4 linked regions of the Coturnix japonica genome follow. The protein of the gene in region 1 purifies or fractionates together with the protein of each later gene. This does not show direct contact. Links are inferred from orthologs where the notes say so. Each region holds a gene or a part of one and is shown in the gene's direction. Other genes may lie near its edges.

What was found. Proteins that work in one complex are often made in the same cells at the same time.
Region 2: the proteins of FBXW7 (region 1) and FBXO45 purify together in Homo sapiens (affinity purification with mass spectrometry; 4 studies listed by BioGRID and IntAct, counting the BioPlex papers as one, with this or other methods). This does not show direct contact. The link is inferred for Coturnix japonica from reciprocal best matches to the Homo sapiens genes FBXW7 and FBXO45.
Region 3: the proteins of FBXW7 (region 1) and RBX1 purify together in Homo sapiens (affinity purification with western blotting; 8 studies listed by BioGRID and IntAct, with this or other methods). This does not show direct contact. The link is inferred for Coturnix japonica from reciprocal best matches to the Homo sapiens genes FBXW7 and RBX1.
Region 4: the proteins of FBXW7 (region 1) and MYCBP2 purify together in Homo sapiens (affinity purification with mass spectrometry; 6 studies listed by BioGRID and IntAct, counting the BioPlex papers as one, with this or other methods). This does not show direct contact. The link is inferred for Coturnix japonica from reciprocal best matches to the Homo sapiens genes FBXW7 and MYCBP2.

What each region holds. Positions count from the first base shown.
Region 1 is NC_029519.1:29,734,121-29,737,620, reverse strand, and holds part of FBXW7 (F-box/WD repeat-containing protein 7), read left to right. Parts: intron 1-1,011; coding exon 1,012-1,237; intron 1,238-3,500. UniProt on the Homo sapiens protein: Substrate recognition component of a SCF (SKP1-CUL1-F-box protein) E3 ubiquitin-protein ligase complex which mediates the ubiquitination and subsequent proteasomal degradation of target proteins.
Region 2 is NC_029524.1:3,579,950-3,583,989, reverse strand, and holds the start of FBXO45 (F-box/SPRY domain-containing protein 1), read left to right. Parts: upstream 1-1,240; 5' UTR 1,241-1,447; coding exon 1,448-1,699; intron 1,700-1,779; coding exon 1,780-2,136; intron 2,137-4,006; coding exon 4,007-4,040. Other genes in the region: WDR53 (WD repeat-containing protein 53), read right to left, coding at 697-1,176. UniProt on the Homo sapiens protein: Component of E3 ubiquitin ligase complex consisting of FBXO45, MYCBP2 and SKP1. Functions in substrate recognition but also plays an important role in assembly of the complex.
Region 3 is NC_029516.1:45,482,598-45,486,591, reverse strand, and holds the start of RBX1 (E3 ubiquitin-protein ligase RBX1), read left to right. Parts: upstream 1-1,194; 5' UTR 1,195-1,209; coding exon 1,210-1,338; intron 1,339-2,139; coding exon 2,140-2,218; intron 2,219-3,994. UniProt on the Homo sapiens protein: E3 ubiquitin ligase component of multiple cullin-RING-based E3 ubiquitin-protein ligase (CRLs) complexes which mediate the ubiquitination and subsequent proteasomal degradation of target proteins, including proteins involved in cell cycle progression, signal transduction, transcription and transcription-coupled nucleotide excision repair.
Region 4 is NC_029516.1:138,282,556-138,286,747, forward strand, and holds the start of MYCBP2 (E3 ubiquitin-protein ligase MYCBP2), read left to right. Parts: upstream 1-1,392; 5' UTR 1,393-1,409; coding exon 1,410-2,137; intron 2,138-4,192. UniProt on the Homo sapiens protein: Atypical E3 ubiquitin-protein ligase which specifically mediates ubiquitination of threonine and serine residues on target proteins, instead of ubiquitinating lysine residues.

The sequences.
Region 1 (3,500 bases):
ACTTGTTAAATTGGGGTGTCTGATCAGACACTGAGTGAAATACAAAACAGGCGGAGCATCCAAACTAAAGTATGCCAGTTGACTAAGGGAGGAGATTATTAACTGAAGCAAAGGCATATGGATATTAATTAAAGAACAGAAAACTAAGAGAGTCAGGAACTTTATAAAGCTGTCTTTTACCTTATTCTAAAACTCATTCTTCATTACAACCCGATCCAGTCTACCACAGCAAATAATTTATTCTTAGCTTTTTGTACGTTACAGACTTTTACTCTCTCTGCAGAGTGACTTTAGTATTGTTGGTGCGGTTCTTTATCAACATTTTAACTTACTGTATCATCATTTCTGCGGTAGAAATTCATGTCTTGGTTCAAGGAACATTGGCAGAGTTACTTGGCTGTGGCACGGTGCTGTTGTCAGAGTGCCTGTTGGTTACATTTCTCTTTTTTGAAGAATGCTGAGGTTTTTCTTTATCTGTGCCATTAATATTAATTCCTTCTCACTTTTAAAATTGTGCTTGCCTAAAAAGGCTTTTAAAAGTATAAACTGAAAAAAAAAGCAAACAAGCAGAATAATCATTCCTTTGCTAAAAGTATAACTTCTAAAGAAGGATCTTCTTTAATTGTTATAATTAGTTAATTCAGTCATTTAAGCAGGATGCTCAAAGTGCTAATTTGAACTCGGCATATTCATAAGCTTTCATGGATGGATACAATGGTCCACATAGTTTCTCGTGGCATCATTTTGCTGTTCATGACTGAAGTGCTTTTTAAATAGATTGCTAATTATATCAAATGGATCCTGGAGAGACAAGCAGAGCAAGGAAGAAATGCACTCAAGTCATTTGCAACCCTGATGAACTGTTGTGTCAAACCAGATCTTCGGTGGCTAGCGGACAAATGCTATCTAGTGTTCCAGATGAAAACTTGTAACTGATTTATAACTATCTCATTGTTTTAATGCTCTTATTTCCAACGCTAAATATAGGAGGGGTTTTTTTTGTTCCTCCAGAGTGGTCAGTGGTTCTCGAGATGCTACACTGAGAGTTTGGGACATAGAGACGGGCCAGTGTTTACATGTTCTGATGGGCCACGTAGCTGCAGTTCGATGCGTTCAGTATGACGGAAGAAGGGTTGTAAGTGGTGCATATGATTTTATGGTCAAAGTGTGGGATCCAGAGACCGAGACCTGTCTGCACACGCTGCAAGGGCATACTAACAGAGTCTATTCATTACAGGTAAGTGATTTTCATCTGCTGCTTATATGAACATGGTGTATTTTACCTTCTTTAATAAACTGCAAATCCTTGCTCCAGAATTATACAGACCATGAAAATACTGGGGCTTAGGTCATATTCCCCTTTTCCATTTTTTCATCTTCGTCGTATGTTGCTTTAATTTAGAGGCTGTGGGTTTTTTGTTTTTTTTTTGTTTTTTGTTTTTTGTTTTTTTTTTTAAAGAGTACTTTTAAAGTCCATAATACAATAAAGCCCAAATCTCTGTCCTGGCAAGTTATGTACTTTTCTAGAGCTTGGGATTGTTTGTTAGGCGTTTTTTAAATGTTGTATTGGTTTCCCCAAAAGAAGTTCTAATGTTACTATTTAAATACATTAGCTAATACAGTATTTGAAAATGTGCCAGAAACCCCATTGGATTAATGTTCTGAATTAAGCAAATCTGTTCATCCTTATTTTGTAGTCACATCCTCTAGTTCCAAACTGTAATTCATAGTAAGGATGAACCTAAAACTTAATGCCCTGACTTAAGTATTTGTTTTATTGGTTCTGAGCAAAGGCTGCATCTACAGTTCTGAGGCTTTGTCTGCAGAGACATGTTGCTGTAGATGCAGATCATTCTTGGTACCAGTGTACGGCATGGCCAGTTTACCTCTTGCCTGACTTCACCACAGTTATGCTGGCAAAGTCATACACAGACCTCATGTCAACTCTTCTTACCTTTACTATTCCAAAAGATATCTTGTTCATTCACTGAACATCATTTCCAGGCACTGAAAGGAGAACAAAATTAATGTCATGCATGTGCCTGTTCTCACTGCAGTCTGGCAGAACTCAAAAAAGAAATAAACAACAAATTCAGCTCCCAGCTGGGAAACTGCATTCAGCGTGTAACTAGTCTGGTTGGTGGCACAGAAAATGAAGCTGCAGACGTTTTTAATAAATGTTATCATCAAAAGGTGCTTTTCACCATAATAGATCAAATGGTTTTCTATTTTAAAATGTATAGCAAAATTTATCAAAAATCACCATCCCTTCTCCTTCGTTCATGGGCTGCGGAGTATTTGAGACAAGCAGCAAACAGGTTAAAAATGCTGCACCACCTACCTCATATTATGGTTTTATCTGCAGCAGTTTGAGAACAGTGCACGTTATCTTCACTGGTGGCTCTTGTTCCAGTTGGCAAATATAAGTGTCTTACTCTACTAATGGAGTAGTAGAGGGTCAAGTAATTGGGTTATGTTGATCATGCTGGTAGTATTTATAGCTTGTAAGTGGAACTTGGAGAGGCAGAAGGCTACAGGTGCTTAGAGCTTTAGGACTTTCAAGTTTGTTGAAATTGAAAGGTAAGCTCCTGCTGAAACAGCCCATGAGTAGAATAATGAGGCTGAACAGTGTGCCTGTCTTCCCCACTCCTGCCCCATTGTGAATTCTCTTACGTTTCAGTATTTCCCCATTTGCGACCCCCCCAGACAATTGTTAGAGATCTTTAATGCCACAGTTTAAGAGTACTAATCCGGTTGCCTTTTCTTAGTCACCTTTCTCAGTTGCCTTTGTCATAGTCCACAGATTGTCAGGACCCTCAGAAAACACAGTACAGCCACTGATCTGAACCACTGTCTGTTTAACTGCAGCAATATTGAAGTAGTTTGTCTTTACACTCAGCCTTAAGGCTTTCTTTCTGAATACTTTATGCAAGTAGAATACAGGTAAATGACAGGAGAGAGGAGGTTTTTTTTTTTGTGTTTTTTCTTTTTTGCATCAGTCTTTCTTTAAGTCCAGCTTAGGAAAGAAAAACATTCTGTAGTGTTCCTTGCAGCAAGTGTGCTGGCTGCTCACCATTCCTGATCCATTTATCCAAAGTCAAATTAGTTCACATGCTTTTTTGAAAGCATAGTGCAGAAAACAGGATGCAAAATTCTAGTCAAAGTCTTAGCAATGCCTGCTGTAATGGAGAAGTTACTTTATGTATATTGTGTAGCATATCCCTATTTTGGATACCAGAGTGTGTGTTTTTTTAGTGTATTTTCACTGGAACTGCAATGTATTCCAGTCAGCAGGCTGCACGTGCCAGTTGCTCTCTAAATCTTCTGAACCAAAGTGTCACTCAGCCATGACTGCAGGTAGAGATCTGAGGTGTTCTAAGATGCAAGAGGTTTTACAAAAAGAAGCAGTCGGATAGCCGGGTTCTTTCTTCTCTTGTTACTAGATACCAGCAAGCCCACATGGACAAGTAGTGCTAGTTTGCTCTGGCTATCCCAGGCTG
Region 2 (4,040 bases), on another chromosome or scaffold:
ACTTCAAAGAACACCAGCTGTAGTTCCCCTAACACCGCCTGAACCACAGAGACCTTTGTACAAGTGACAGTTTGCATCTCGGGCTAAAACAGGAACGTGGTCAGACCTCAACCACGGGAAGGGAAGTCCTGGGGGGTGGGGGGGTGTCCGGCCCAGAGCACAGGAGCTGAGCGGAGGCCTCGTGGCAGCTGCAGCTCATAGGGAGCAGATGGGCAGCGCTGAGCTCAGCTCGGTGTGACAGCGACAGGGCCCGAGGGAACGGCATGGAGCTGTGCTGGGGAGGGGGCACCGACAGGGTGTGACACACGGGGACAAGGCAGAGAAGTGTAAAAGGCAAAGAACATTCAGCACGGAATTCTGCAGGGGGTGAGCTCAGTAACACGCTCAGAGCAGCCAGGTAGTTCTGTGTGTGCGTTCAGCACTCTGGCTGCCATCTGCTCTGCCTTGGGCACTTTGTTTTCCTCAGGCAGCTCTGCCCGCAGCCATTCACTCGGTGTAAGTGCAGGCTCCACACGGTGGGACAGCGCTGCTGCGGGCACGGCTGCTCCGCGCTGCCCCTGCATTGCCCCGTGCCGACCACATCCACGCTGCGATGAATGAAGCTCGGCACGACCCCGCGCCGCAGCTGGGCCCCACGCCCTGACCCGGGTGGAGCAGCGCGCAGCCCGGAGCCACCTGCCCCCATTACAAAGTCACCTGCATGTCCAGCCCGCACGACACGAGGCTGCGCGGCCTCTGCGGCCGGAAGGCGACGGAGGAGCAGATGTTGTGGTGCCGCAGGGAGCGGATCACTTTGTTGCCGTCCAGATCCACCACCTTGACGGCCCCGGAATCGTCCGCCGCGGCCAGGAGGGTCCCGTCGTGGCTGCTGGCCAGGCAGTCGATCTCGTCCTCGTTGAAGCGGAGCCGCTCCACGGGCTCCCGCGGCGCCCGCACGTCCAGCACCGCCACGGCCGGGCCGTGCGCGGCGTACAGGAGGTGCGGGCGGCGCGGGGAGAACGACAGCGCCGCCACGTCGTGCTCGGCGGGGTTGAGGCGCAGCAGCCCCGCGGACACGCCGTCCCGGCCCCACAGCGCCAGCTCGCCGCGCTCGGCCCCCGAGGCCACGGGCCCGTCGGTGCCGGCGGCGATGCAGAGCACGGAGCCGCAGTGCGCGCCGTGCCACCGGGCCGCCATGATGGCCGGCAGCGCGGGGACGCCGCTCTCGGGGCGGACGCCGGCTCGGCGCATGCGCGGCGGGCGGCTCGGGGCGGGCGGTGATGGCGGCGCGCGCCCCCTCGCCTTGAGGCCTCGGCCGGGCGGGCGGAGCGCTGGGCACCGACCCGCCGCTACCGGCACCGCCCGCTGACGGGAAGGGAAGAAGGGAAGGAAGGGCAGGAAGGGCCGCTCGGCTCCCGCGGCGCCGCCCCCCCACTGCCCCCCGGTCCAACCCCCTGCGCGGGGGGCGATGGCGGCGGGGCCCGGCGGCGGGGCGGCGGGGGGAGCGGGGTGGCGGCTGCCGGGCCGGGTGCTGGAGCTGGTGTTCTCGTACCTGGAGCTGCGCGAGCTGCGGAGCTGCGCGCTGGTGTGCAAGCTGTGGCACCACGTCCTGCACGGCGACGAGAACAGCGAGGTGTGGCGCAGCCTGGCCGCGCGCTGCCTGGCCGAGGAGGCGCTGCGCACCGACATCCTCTGCAACGTGCCCACATACAAGGGCAAGGTGAGCGCCAAGCCCGAACCCCCCGCGCGGCCGCGACGCCCCCCGCGGCCTGACCCCCCTGTTGGCTCCCCCCGCCTTAGGTCCGTGCCTTCCACCACGCCTTCAGCACCAACGACTGCTCCCGGAACGTGTACATCAAGAAGAACGGCTTCACTCTGCACCGCAACCCCATCGCCCAGAGCACCGACGGCGCCAGGACCAAGATCGGCTTCAGCGAGGGCCGGCACGCCTGGGAGGTGTGGTGGGAAGGGCCGCTGGGCACCGTGGCCGTCATCGGCATCGCCACGAAGCGGGCGGCCATGCAGTGCCAGGGCTACGTGGCCCTGCTGGGCAGCGACGACCAGAGCTGGGGCTGGAACCTGGTGGACAATAACTTGCTGCACAACGGGGAGGTCAACGGCAGCTTCCCGCAGTGCAACAACGCGCCCAAGTACCAGGTGAGCGGGCGGCCGGCCCTCCCTGCGCTCCCCGGTATCTTTATCTTAACAGGTATCACGGCTGTTCACACAACCCCTGTGTGGTTGGGTTGGAAGGTGCCTTACAGCAACCCTGCTCCCAATCCCTGCCGTGGGCTGGCTGCCCCCACCGGCTCAGGCTGCACAGGCCCCATCCAGCCCGGCCCTGAGCACCTCCAGGCTGCAGGAGGATGGGGCACCCACACTGCTCTGTGCATGATTCCTTTGTTTCTGCCTTCTTTCTCAAATACGTGTGGGTGTTATTAGAACACCGCATCCCCCGCTGCAACAAAAGCTGGCACTGCTCTCAGGAGCATTAAAGGGCCCAGCAGTGTCTGTTGACGGTGGGTGTTTCACCCCTGTGCTGTATGCACTGTGAGCACAGGCCGTGCTGACATAGGGCCCTCCTATGCCGTGCGCTGCTTGCTGGCTCTCTGGGCTCCTTCCCATGGGTGACATCCTTTGGCTGGGCCCTGACGTGTGGCTGATTTGGGGTTATCAAAGTACAGGTGCTGCTCCGCTGTTGTGTCTCGCAGCGAGTGTTTATCTTTGTTCTGGTTCCTGCACAGCTGCCTTTGGACTGATGGTTTTCCTCACGTTGCATCTTCAGCCGTGTTGCAGCTCAATTCCAATCTCACAGCGTCACGGTTTGGGATGAATAATGCCTTGTGCTTCAGCTGTACGTGAAGATCTTGGCATTAACTCAAGGCTGATATTTCTACATCCCATATAAAAGCTCACTGCCGAGCACTCAGCTCAGTCTGGAAATGATATCTGCCATTTTTGCTATTGAGAAGTAAATGTGGATCAAAGAGAATTGGCCCTTTCCATCCCTGCCCATTGGCAGCCCCTTCCTGCTGCCCCTGTCTGGGCCTTTCTGTGCAGCAGGATGAGGAGAGGTTTTAAAGCCAGGAGAGCTCCCATGGGGCCTGCAGGCTGAGCTGCGCTTCCTTCTTAAGAACTGGTGAGGGCTTGAATCAGCAATTTGTATTTGCTAAGATGTAGAATCACAGAGTTGTACACAGACGGTCACCTGCTCATAGGAGACACGCTGCAGGGAGACACGCACTTGTTAGCATTGGTTAGAAGCAAAATATATTGGCTGGAAGGAATCCCTGGCGCTGCGGTTGTCTGGTGGAGGAGCACAAGTTTGTGCTATCTCATGCTGCATTTGCTGCTGGTGCCTCTCCCTTCTGTTTATATTTGAAAGCAGCAAGTGCAGGATAAACATGGGGAGCATCCCATGCACCGTGCCCCAAACCTGTTGCATTTGGTGTTGGTTTTACCCACACATGTGTATCTATACTGTAGGTTTTGTGTACCCATCTTGCCAAAGATTTGCACTGAATTCTTTTTATGCCTTGCTAAGGGAGCACCGCCGTCAGCTTGTGCCATCAGAATGTGTTCTGGGGATACTCCACACCTGGCTTTTACCTTTAAAACAACTCATCTAACGTTGCTCTTTGTAGGCTCTGCTGGTCACTGCTGGCAACAGAGCCCTGGTAACTTGGGGCTATTGGAAATGTTCAGGCTCCTGCTGTGTTCTGGAGCAGAGCTCTTGCTTGTGCTGCTGCTGCAAGGTCCACTTTGATGGGCTGTGTCTGATGCTGGGAGGGTGCTTAGGCCTGGGCTGCCTGCAGGAACAGGCAGCAGATGTACGGGGTCCATACGAGAGGAATGGAGACATCTCTGTTGTGAAAGCACCGAGGAAAGCCTCGCTTTAACCTGATCTGTGTTATCCACGGATTTTGCTTTGGTTTTTGGGTTGTTTTGTTGGTGTTTCCATCTGAATATATTGACTCTTTCCTCTTTTTTTGTTTCTTCTCCCTCTTCTTCCCATCTCTGTTTCCAGATAGGCGAAAGGATTCGAGTTATCCTGGACATGG
Region 3 (3,994 bases), on another chromosome or scaffold:
CCATGAAATGCTGCAACTCGTTCCTCTCTCTGAATCTCATCTGTTCATCTTAGTCAGATTATGGGGAGCGGGAGGCTTCATTTCTCACCTGAGGTTTTAGTAACAGATTGAAAAAACAATGGCACTACATGGGAATATAATGTGACCATCATCTAGAAAACACACAGAGGCAGAGGGATTGGGTTCATGCAGAAACCAACCATGATCTGGGCCAAAAAACTATGGGATATATTGCTTAATCTACCCCTCTGGCTCTGTTCTTAGAATTCAAATTTTCTCTGAGCACTCCAGATCAGCTGGGGATGCTACAGAGTATTGAAGTTCCATGATATTCATGAACTCTGAGAAGTTTTGTGGCAATGTGGAAAGACGGTAAATGAGGTACCATTTGTGATGCTGTCTGTCTGGACACTCACAACAGCAAAGGCAAACTTAGCCAAATCAATTACTTTTAGTGGCATCAGCAATGGAGGGCAGCCAGCCAGCCCTACAGTTCTTTAAGGAGTTATAAAATGCACTTCATTTTTATAACCTCTGTACAATAAAGTATTGCTCTAAAAAGTGTTTCGGAGCACATGAATTCCTGCTTTCTTTCAGAACATTTTCATTCCTGAGTGCATCCTGAGCGCCCCAGAGACATCCCACACCACTGGGGTAGCACTGAGGCTGATATGGTACAAAGGATATGCAGCTCAGCTCAGCCCACCTGAGGGGCTGGGAAGGGAGCAAGGGCTGAAGAGCAAGGCAACCTCCTCCCTTAAAAAGGCTCTGCCGGGGACGGAGGGGTGTGTGTGGGGGGGGGGGGGGGGGGGTAAGGGCAGGCCCTGGCGGAAGCCCCGCCTACACCTTCCGCTCACACCTCCCTGCGGCCCCTTCCGCCGCGCATGCGCACAGAGCGGAACGGCCTATTCACGCATCCAAAATGGCGGCTGCGATGGATGTGGACACCCCCAGCGGCACCAACAGCGGCGCCGGCAAGAAGCGCTTCGAAGTGAAGAAAGTGAGACCTGCTGGCGTGGCGCGCTCTACCCGGCCGGTCCCAGCGGGAGGAGGGAGGTCGGGAGCGGCCAGGTGGCCGCGAGCGGGTCGGGGCGCTGAGCCGCTTTCCGCGCCCCCTCACGGAGCCGGGCGTTGCTTCCGCACCGGCACCGCCGTATGAGGGGAGGGGGGGGCGGTGCTTGCGGAGTCTATTGGCGTGTGTCGGGGCCAATGGGTGAGACGGGTCTCCGCGCGTGGAACGGAGGTTGGCCAATCAGAGGGCGCGACCACGCGGGGAGGAGGAGGGAGAGAGGCGAGGCGGGGCTAGTTCTGGCTGGGCCCCGCCGCCCAGAGCCGAGGGTAATGCCGGGCTTAGGGGCGAGTCGGTGCGCTGCTGTTGCCTCCTCAGTCCCGGCTGCTTTGGCTCAGTTGTCTTAGTGGCCCTACGTGATGTGAAGGGAGCTTTGCACGCATTTGTGTGGCTGCTTCTTTTTGTATTCTTCACAAATCAACTCGTAGGTGACCAACAAATGCTGTCTTGTCATCCCGGTTTGCTTTGCTTCCCCCAAACAACCATAATATCCCTCTTTGGCCTAACAACCATAATATCCCTCTTTGACCTACCCTCTCCAGTGTGGCTGCGAGCTGAATGGTGGTGAAAGATCCCAAGTTCACTTCAACGAGGCCCGGAGGTGGTTAGGAGCACTTTGTGGGAGCACTTTTGATATTGTATATTTTTTGCAATGAAAATGATTCAGGAGTCGCTGAGGGGCAAAGTTAGAGGTGATTCTGGTTGTTGGCCCCAGCTGCTCTGAGGGATGATTACTGGGAAAACAGCTACAAACAAGAGAAGTTCCAAACTGAGGATGTGGCGTGAGATGCATTCTTGCCTCCAGATTATGAATTGAAATGCAGATGTTTGCATTTGTATGGCAAAAAAAAGAGAGTGGGACTAGTATCAATTGTTTCTGAGACTGGAAGGAGGCACTGAGTGTGAGAGGTATCTGAGAAAGAATTACTCTGGTGCTGTAAGGTGTGTGTCTTTTAATATCCTAACCTTATCATTTCAGAAAGAAAGAGGATCTTGAGGAATAATGAGGATTTCCATGTGTTATATGTTGAATAAAATTTATGTTTCTCTTTTTTCCCCCCTCACTCTAGTGGAATGCAGTAGCTCTGTGGGCGTGGGACATTGTGGTTGATAACTGTGCCATCTGCAGAAACCATATTATGGATCTATGTAAGTAAATGATGGGGAAGCGTGCTTACAGTTTTGACATGTACAAGATTCACAGTTGAAATTTCCACTGCTCAGGGTGCATTTCAGCAAATCTGGTTTTCAGTTCAGAATGAAGTCTTTCGGTAACACTATAAACTCTGTTCTATGTAGTGCTCAAGTTCTGCTTTCTGTGTCTGACTGACCAGAAAAGATTCAGGCCACTGAATTTTTGACTCCTCATTCTGCCAAAGCTACTTTGCCTAAATTAGGGTTATAGTGTGGGGAATTCTGTGGCCAGCTAGAGAATCCGTTTGTTATCTATGAAGAGAATAATCTAATGCCTAAACCAACACCAAGCATTGCTAGTACTAATTCACCTTTTTTTTCCCCCCTGTATGGTCCCAACAGTCCTGTTAACAAATACACTTACTATTTAGGAAAACAAAGTGGTAGTAGGAGTAAGTATAAAAAATTCTACTGTGAAATAGGTATCCATATATAAAGTCACCGGCTTTGGTCTAATTGAGGATTGGCAATAAGAACAGAGCCATTTTTTTTTCCCCTCAAATCTTTGGCAATATATGGTTGGCACCGTAACTGTCCATGTTCTTTCAATGATAAGATACAGAACACCTTTTAACATCCCCCAGATAGGAAGTCACCTGTACTACTAAAATGGGAGGATTGTGGTACCTCAAAAAGCAAGACCTTCAGTACCTGACAAGGGCTAGTCATGATTTCTTTGTGGTCGCTTTGTTTCACTTTCTTCTTAGTAGCCCTTGCAAGTACAGCTGATGGTAACTTACTGTTAGTGAGCCAATGTGATAATATAAAAGAGCAGGGGAAAAGAAAAAGAGGCTGTGCAGTGTACCATGCAGGGCTGAAAGGGGATTAAGCAAGCTGACTTCTTTGCTTTGAGTCAGATGTGTTCTATTTTGAGCCAGCTGCTGCCTGTCCATCGCTCACTTTATTCTTGATCATTAGAAGAGGAATGGTAGCACTAAAGGCAAGCAGGTGAGAGGAGTGGTTGTGACATGTGCTGAGGACCTCTGACATAGTGCTTTACAGTTAAGAATTGAGGTTGGGTGGAATTGAAAGAATATAGACGTGTTAGGAAGAACTTCAAAGGAAGAGAGCACAGGTAACTTAGTTTTTGTTTTGTTTTGCTTTTTGAGTTGCTCAAGCATAACACCTTATTAGTTAGGGCATAATCAATGCTATCAAAAGCCCAAACTGCAAATGATGGACCAAAATTGACAGTATACAGAGTAGAAGCGGTATCTAAATTGGTGTTCTGAGTTCAGCCTTGGCTCTGGATTTACTTACTTCCTTGTTAACGATCATTAATGATGTTAAGCAACATCTTAATTAGATTTTCAAACCGAAGATGTGAAGTGATGGGAAATAGAGAAAAAATTACTAGATTGTGCAGGGAAGAACAACACAAGATTCAGTTTGATAAAGTGCAGGGCAGGAATGTCTCCCTCTCCCACTGATGAGGAGAAACCTTAAAAGGGAAAACATTACAATGGTGATAAGTAACACCAGCCACGCTAATGGAAGATTGTTAACATTATGAAGTCGAGCATCCAAAAGTTAGGATATAACAATGTTAAGGTTTCGTGCAGTCTTGCTAATGCACATACATTACGACTTGGCTGCTAATACTAAGGACAAAGGATTCCCCTGGCCCTCACTATGGCTCATGTTCGGCACATAGAAGGGATGAGTAGATTTTCAGTGGTTTTTGTTCATTTCTGAAAGGGCCCAGAATGTATTTAGATTTTCTTTGTGCAA
Region 4 (4,192 bases), on another chromosome or scaffold:
TCAGAAAGCAACATGTTCTCAGTGATGCCACCAATCTGGCTGTCTTTGTTACCAGGCCAGCTATTCCAAAGAAAACCTGTACAGTTTATTATCTTTTGCATCCTTCATTCTCTGTACAAAGTATTTGAAATTTAGTGTGAACATATAAGCGTATAGGAGCATTGCAAAGATGACAGTTGCATAGTTTATTTGTATTTTCTGTTACACAGAAAGTTGTTTGCTATTCTGTCTATACGGATAGAGCCCTGAAAGAGGGCTGTTCCAAAAGCAGTGCCTTCTATTTTACGTTGGCCTATGATGTCAGAGGCAGATGTTGATGTCACGGCAGTAGAGGCTGAAACTTCCTACCACTATCCCGTTACATGTTGTTGCCATGCAATAGGCCGCAGCAGAGGGACAGTCTGACAACATGGCGTCTGACATGCAAGTGTGAATGGAGCAGAAGTGTGTCACTGAATTCTTCCATGTGGAAAAAATGGCACCCACTGACATCCAATGATGCTTACTGAGCAATTGCGGAGACCAAACATTGGATGTGAGCAGAGTGAGGCACTGGGTGGTATGTTAGGAGATAGTCTTTTTTGCAGACTTAAATCCAAGCTGCTTTTTACATGCAGTCTTATTTTAGTATAGATTTTCTTCACTTTATTTTCACAGGACACACTATGATCTGTACGCTTGAAGCTTTCAGCTGGGTAAAACAGCAGAAAGGGTGACAGAACAGCAGAGCTAAAATTAAAAGAGATAAAAAGTGAAAATGAAAGAAATGAATGAAAGGAGGTAACAGAATATACTTTGTAAGGGTGCCTGCTGCAGTGCTTCCTTATCCTTTACAGACAGGCAAGGCATCCTGTGGCCAGCAAAGACTATCTAAATAAATTTTGGTTACACATAAGCATTGCATGTAGGGAGCCATGCGCTAAGAAGACATTGCTCCCTGCCAGGAGCCTGACCTGCTCTTGGACACAGCACAAAGGCCGTGGGGAGCCGGTGCCGCAGTAGGTCACATCAGCGCAAGGCCTCAAGGCGGAGCAGAGATCGTAGCATAAGGGGTCAACACGGTGACAGCCCCCTAGAACCGGGCGTTCTGCACAGCGAAAGAAAAGTACTCCCCTACGTGCTCGGCAAGCATGAGGGCTCTCCTCAGGCGCCCGTGGCCCACACAGTCACAGAATCACAGAATTGTAGGGGTTGGAAGGGACCTCTAGAGATCATCGAGTCCAACCCCCCTGCCAAAGCAGGCTCCCTACACCATGTCCCACAGGTAGGCGTCCAGTCGCTCGCCTCACACCGCCCTGAGGCGGCAGCACCCCTCCGCGCTGACAACCACCGCCGGCGGCTGTGGCAGGTGCGACACCCACCCGCCCGCCCCGCTCTTCCCGGGGGCCGCGCAGGAGGCGGGGCGGCGCATGCGCTTGGCTTGGGAGAGAGGTGGGGCCCGGGCGGCTGCGCGGCCAGGGCGGAGGCGCCGAGCAGAAACTCCGGAGAGGAAGCGGCAGCCGCTGGCCTCCGCCCCCTGTCGCGGGAGGAGGAAGCGAGCGGCCGGGCCGCCGGTCCCGAGGCGTACGGTGCTGCCCGGAGCTCGGTGCGCCCGCCTGCAGGAGAGAGCGGCGGCGGCCGGCACTGCGCCCGGGCCGGAGGGGCAGCCGGGGCCCAGCGCCCCGCCGAGGGGAGCAGCGGGCGCGTTTCCGCAGCCCGGCCCCGGCCCGAGTGGATGCGCAGCCCGCGGGGCTGCGGCGGCGGTGTCAGCGGCCTCCCCATGGCCGGGCCCCGGCGGTGAAGGCGACGGGAGCCGCCTGTGCGCGCGCCGGGCCGGCGGGCAGCGCAGCCACCAGGGGGCGGGCGGGGAGGGGATGAGCGCCGCAGCCGCCGCCTCTGCGGGAGCTGCCGTCGCCTCCTGCACCGGGGCAGAGGGCGGCTTCTTCTTCCTCTCCGGCGGCTCCGCTCCTGTGGGGGCCATGGGGCCCGAGGAGGGCTCCGGCGGCGCGCTGGGAGCCCTGCCCGGAGCCCTGCCGCCGCTGCCGGGCTGCCGGGGCCGCTACCAGCTGCTGCTCTCGGGGAAGGCCCTGGCCGACAGATACCGGAAGATTTACACGGCGGCGCTGAGCGACCGGGAGCTGGGCAGCCACCCGGGCAGGTAACGCGCTCCTCCTCCCCCACCCGCGGTGTTGTAGAGGCCCTTCCCCGAGCCGTCTTGTCGCTCGCCGCCCCGTGCCATGCGGCTGCTGCTGCGGATAACGCGGCCTCGGGGTGGGGGGAGCGGCGATGCGGCCACCGGGGTGCCGTCCCCGCCCTGCCGGCCCTACCGCCCGCCCTCCGGCACGGCGCAGATGGCGCTGCCGCCCCCGAGGCCGGTGGAGCGCTCACCTGCGGCCGCCTCCCCTCCCCCTTCCTCTGGCCCGGAGCGGGAGCACGCCCAGATCGAAACGGAGCTCTACATCCCCGCTCCTGCCTTCCCCAGGAGGCATCCAGGGCAGGCCACTGTCTCCTGGATGCCCCCGTGCCCAAACGTGGAGCCGTGCCGGTTGTCCCCCACCGTCCGGTGGTTGGAGAAGCCCTTTCCACAAGGAGGCGGCTGCCTCCGCCCGCCTGTTGCTCCGCCGCGGCTCACCTAGGCCGCTACACCGCAGCGCTGCGGGATGAGACGATGCGGGGCTGCCAGGAGGGGTGTGAGGAACCGTCGCCCCCGTTATCGGTCTGCACCGCTCCGCCTTCCCCGGCCTGGAGGAGCCCGTGCCGAGCCCTTTGTGTGAGGGGGCCGAAGGGTGGCGGTTCCTTGGCATCTCTCAGTGCCCGGGTGTGCCCCATTGTTCGACTCCGAAGGGTGTTGGGGTTGTGGATGGCACGAGAACCGGCGATTCGTGCGTGAGAATCCCTGATCGGTGTCAGACCGTGATGTGGGTGGGCCTGATCGTAGGTGACACTGAGGTTGCTGTTGTTGTAAGTTGGTGATGGCTGTAAGGCACGAGGTGGTTGGCATCTCTGCATGTGTTCTGCCTTTTTTGTCCTTATTTATTTATTTATTTTTAATTTTTATTTTTTGTTTTATGTCCGAGCTGAGAAGCTGGAGTTGTTCCCTAAAGAAGGGTGTGTATAGCAGGGGTGTGGTATAAGAAACTAGAAGAATAATGTAACTTTCCCAAAGGTTGCTCTTGGCTGGTGTCACAAACGTGGGTTTACAAACGTTATCATGTGGCATCTTTGTAATTACTGAGCTCTCTACATAGTATCTGACAGGGAAACTATACTTCTTTACACACATGTATATATGCAAACATAGTATTATATACATTGTGTCTGTGTGTATGGTGTGTGTATCTCTGTAGTGTGTATGGATGTACACTATTTCCATGCATAGTACCTTGCCAGAGTTTTCTTACCTTCGTTATCCCTTCACGTCTTCTTTTCCTGCTTTTGAGCACATAATCCTGCAAGTTCTCACTGTAAGGAAGTCTATGTTGAACTTTAATCAGACATGTGATTGTTCTGTGGCATTCAGACAGAACTACCTGAATCCTTACCTTGGCACATCTGTATTGCTTAAAACTGCAGTTTTGAATTTGTTTTGTCCTCAATGGTTTCTGGTTTCATCAGAATTAAACTGGTATCTTTTCAACATAGTGTTGTAGAAAATACCAGCTTTAAATTAGCGTCATTTTCCGTGTTTCTTTTAATTGACATACTTAATGTATTTACTTTTAACTCCGGGGTATCCTATGTTGTGTTCTTGCCGAGTCTGTTTTTGATTAACAGGTTATTGTGAGGCTGGCAATAAAAATAAACAGCAACATTGAAAAGTTACTGTGTATCTTTGGTATTGAAGACCAGATTTATTCACTTGTGGCTACATTGTGTCATCATAGAGCAAATCCAAGATGCCTGAATCCTCCAAATGGGGGAAACAGATTGTCTCAAGGTCAATGACTGCTAGTTACTTTTAGGGAATACAGCCAATACCGGGTAGTAGGACTTTTAAGAGGTTTAATGCTTTATTATTAGCTAGTGCTGATGTCTCTTGATACTGACCTCCAGCATCTCTTGTACTGGATGATGGAAGCCAACATACTGCTCATAATCTCCACCCTCCTTCTGTATCAGTGTCAAAACATTCCTGTTGAAGGTTTGTGATCTTCAGCTACTTAGAAGTATTTAAAAAGAAATTTCAAAAATGCAATCTAAAATTATCGTTTAT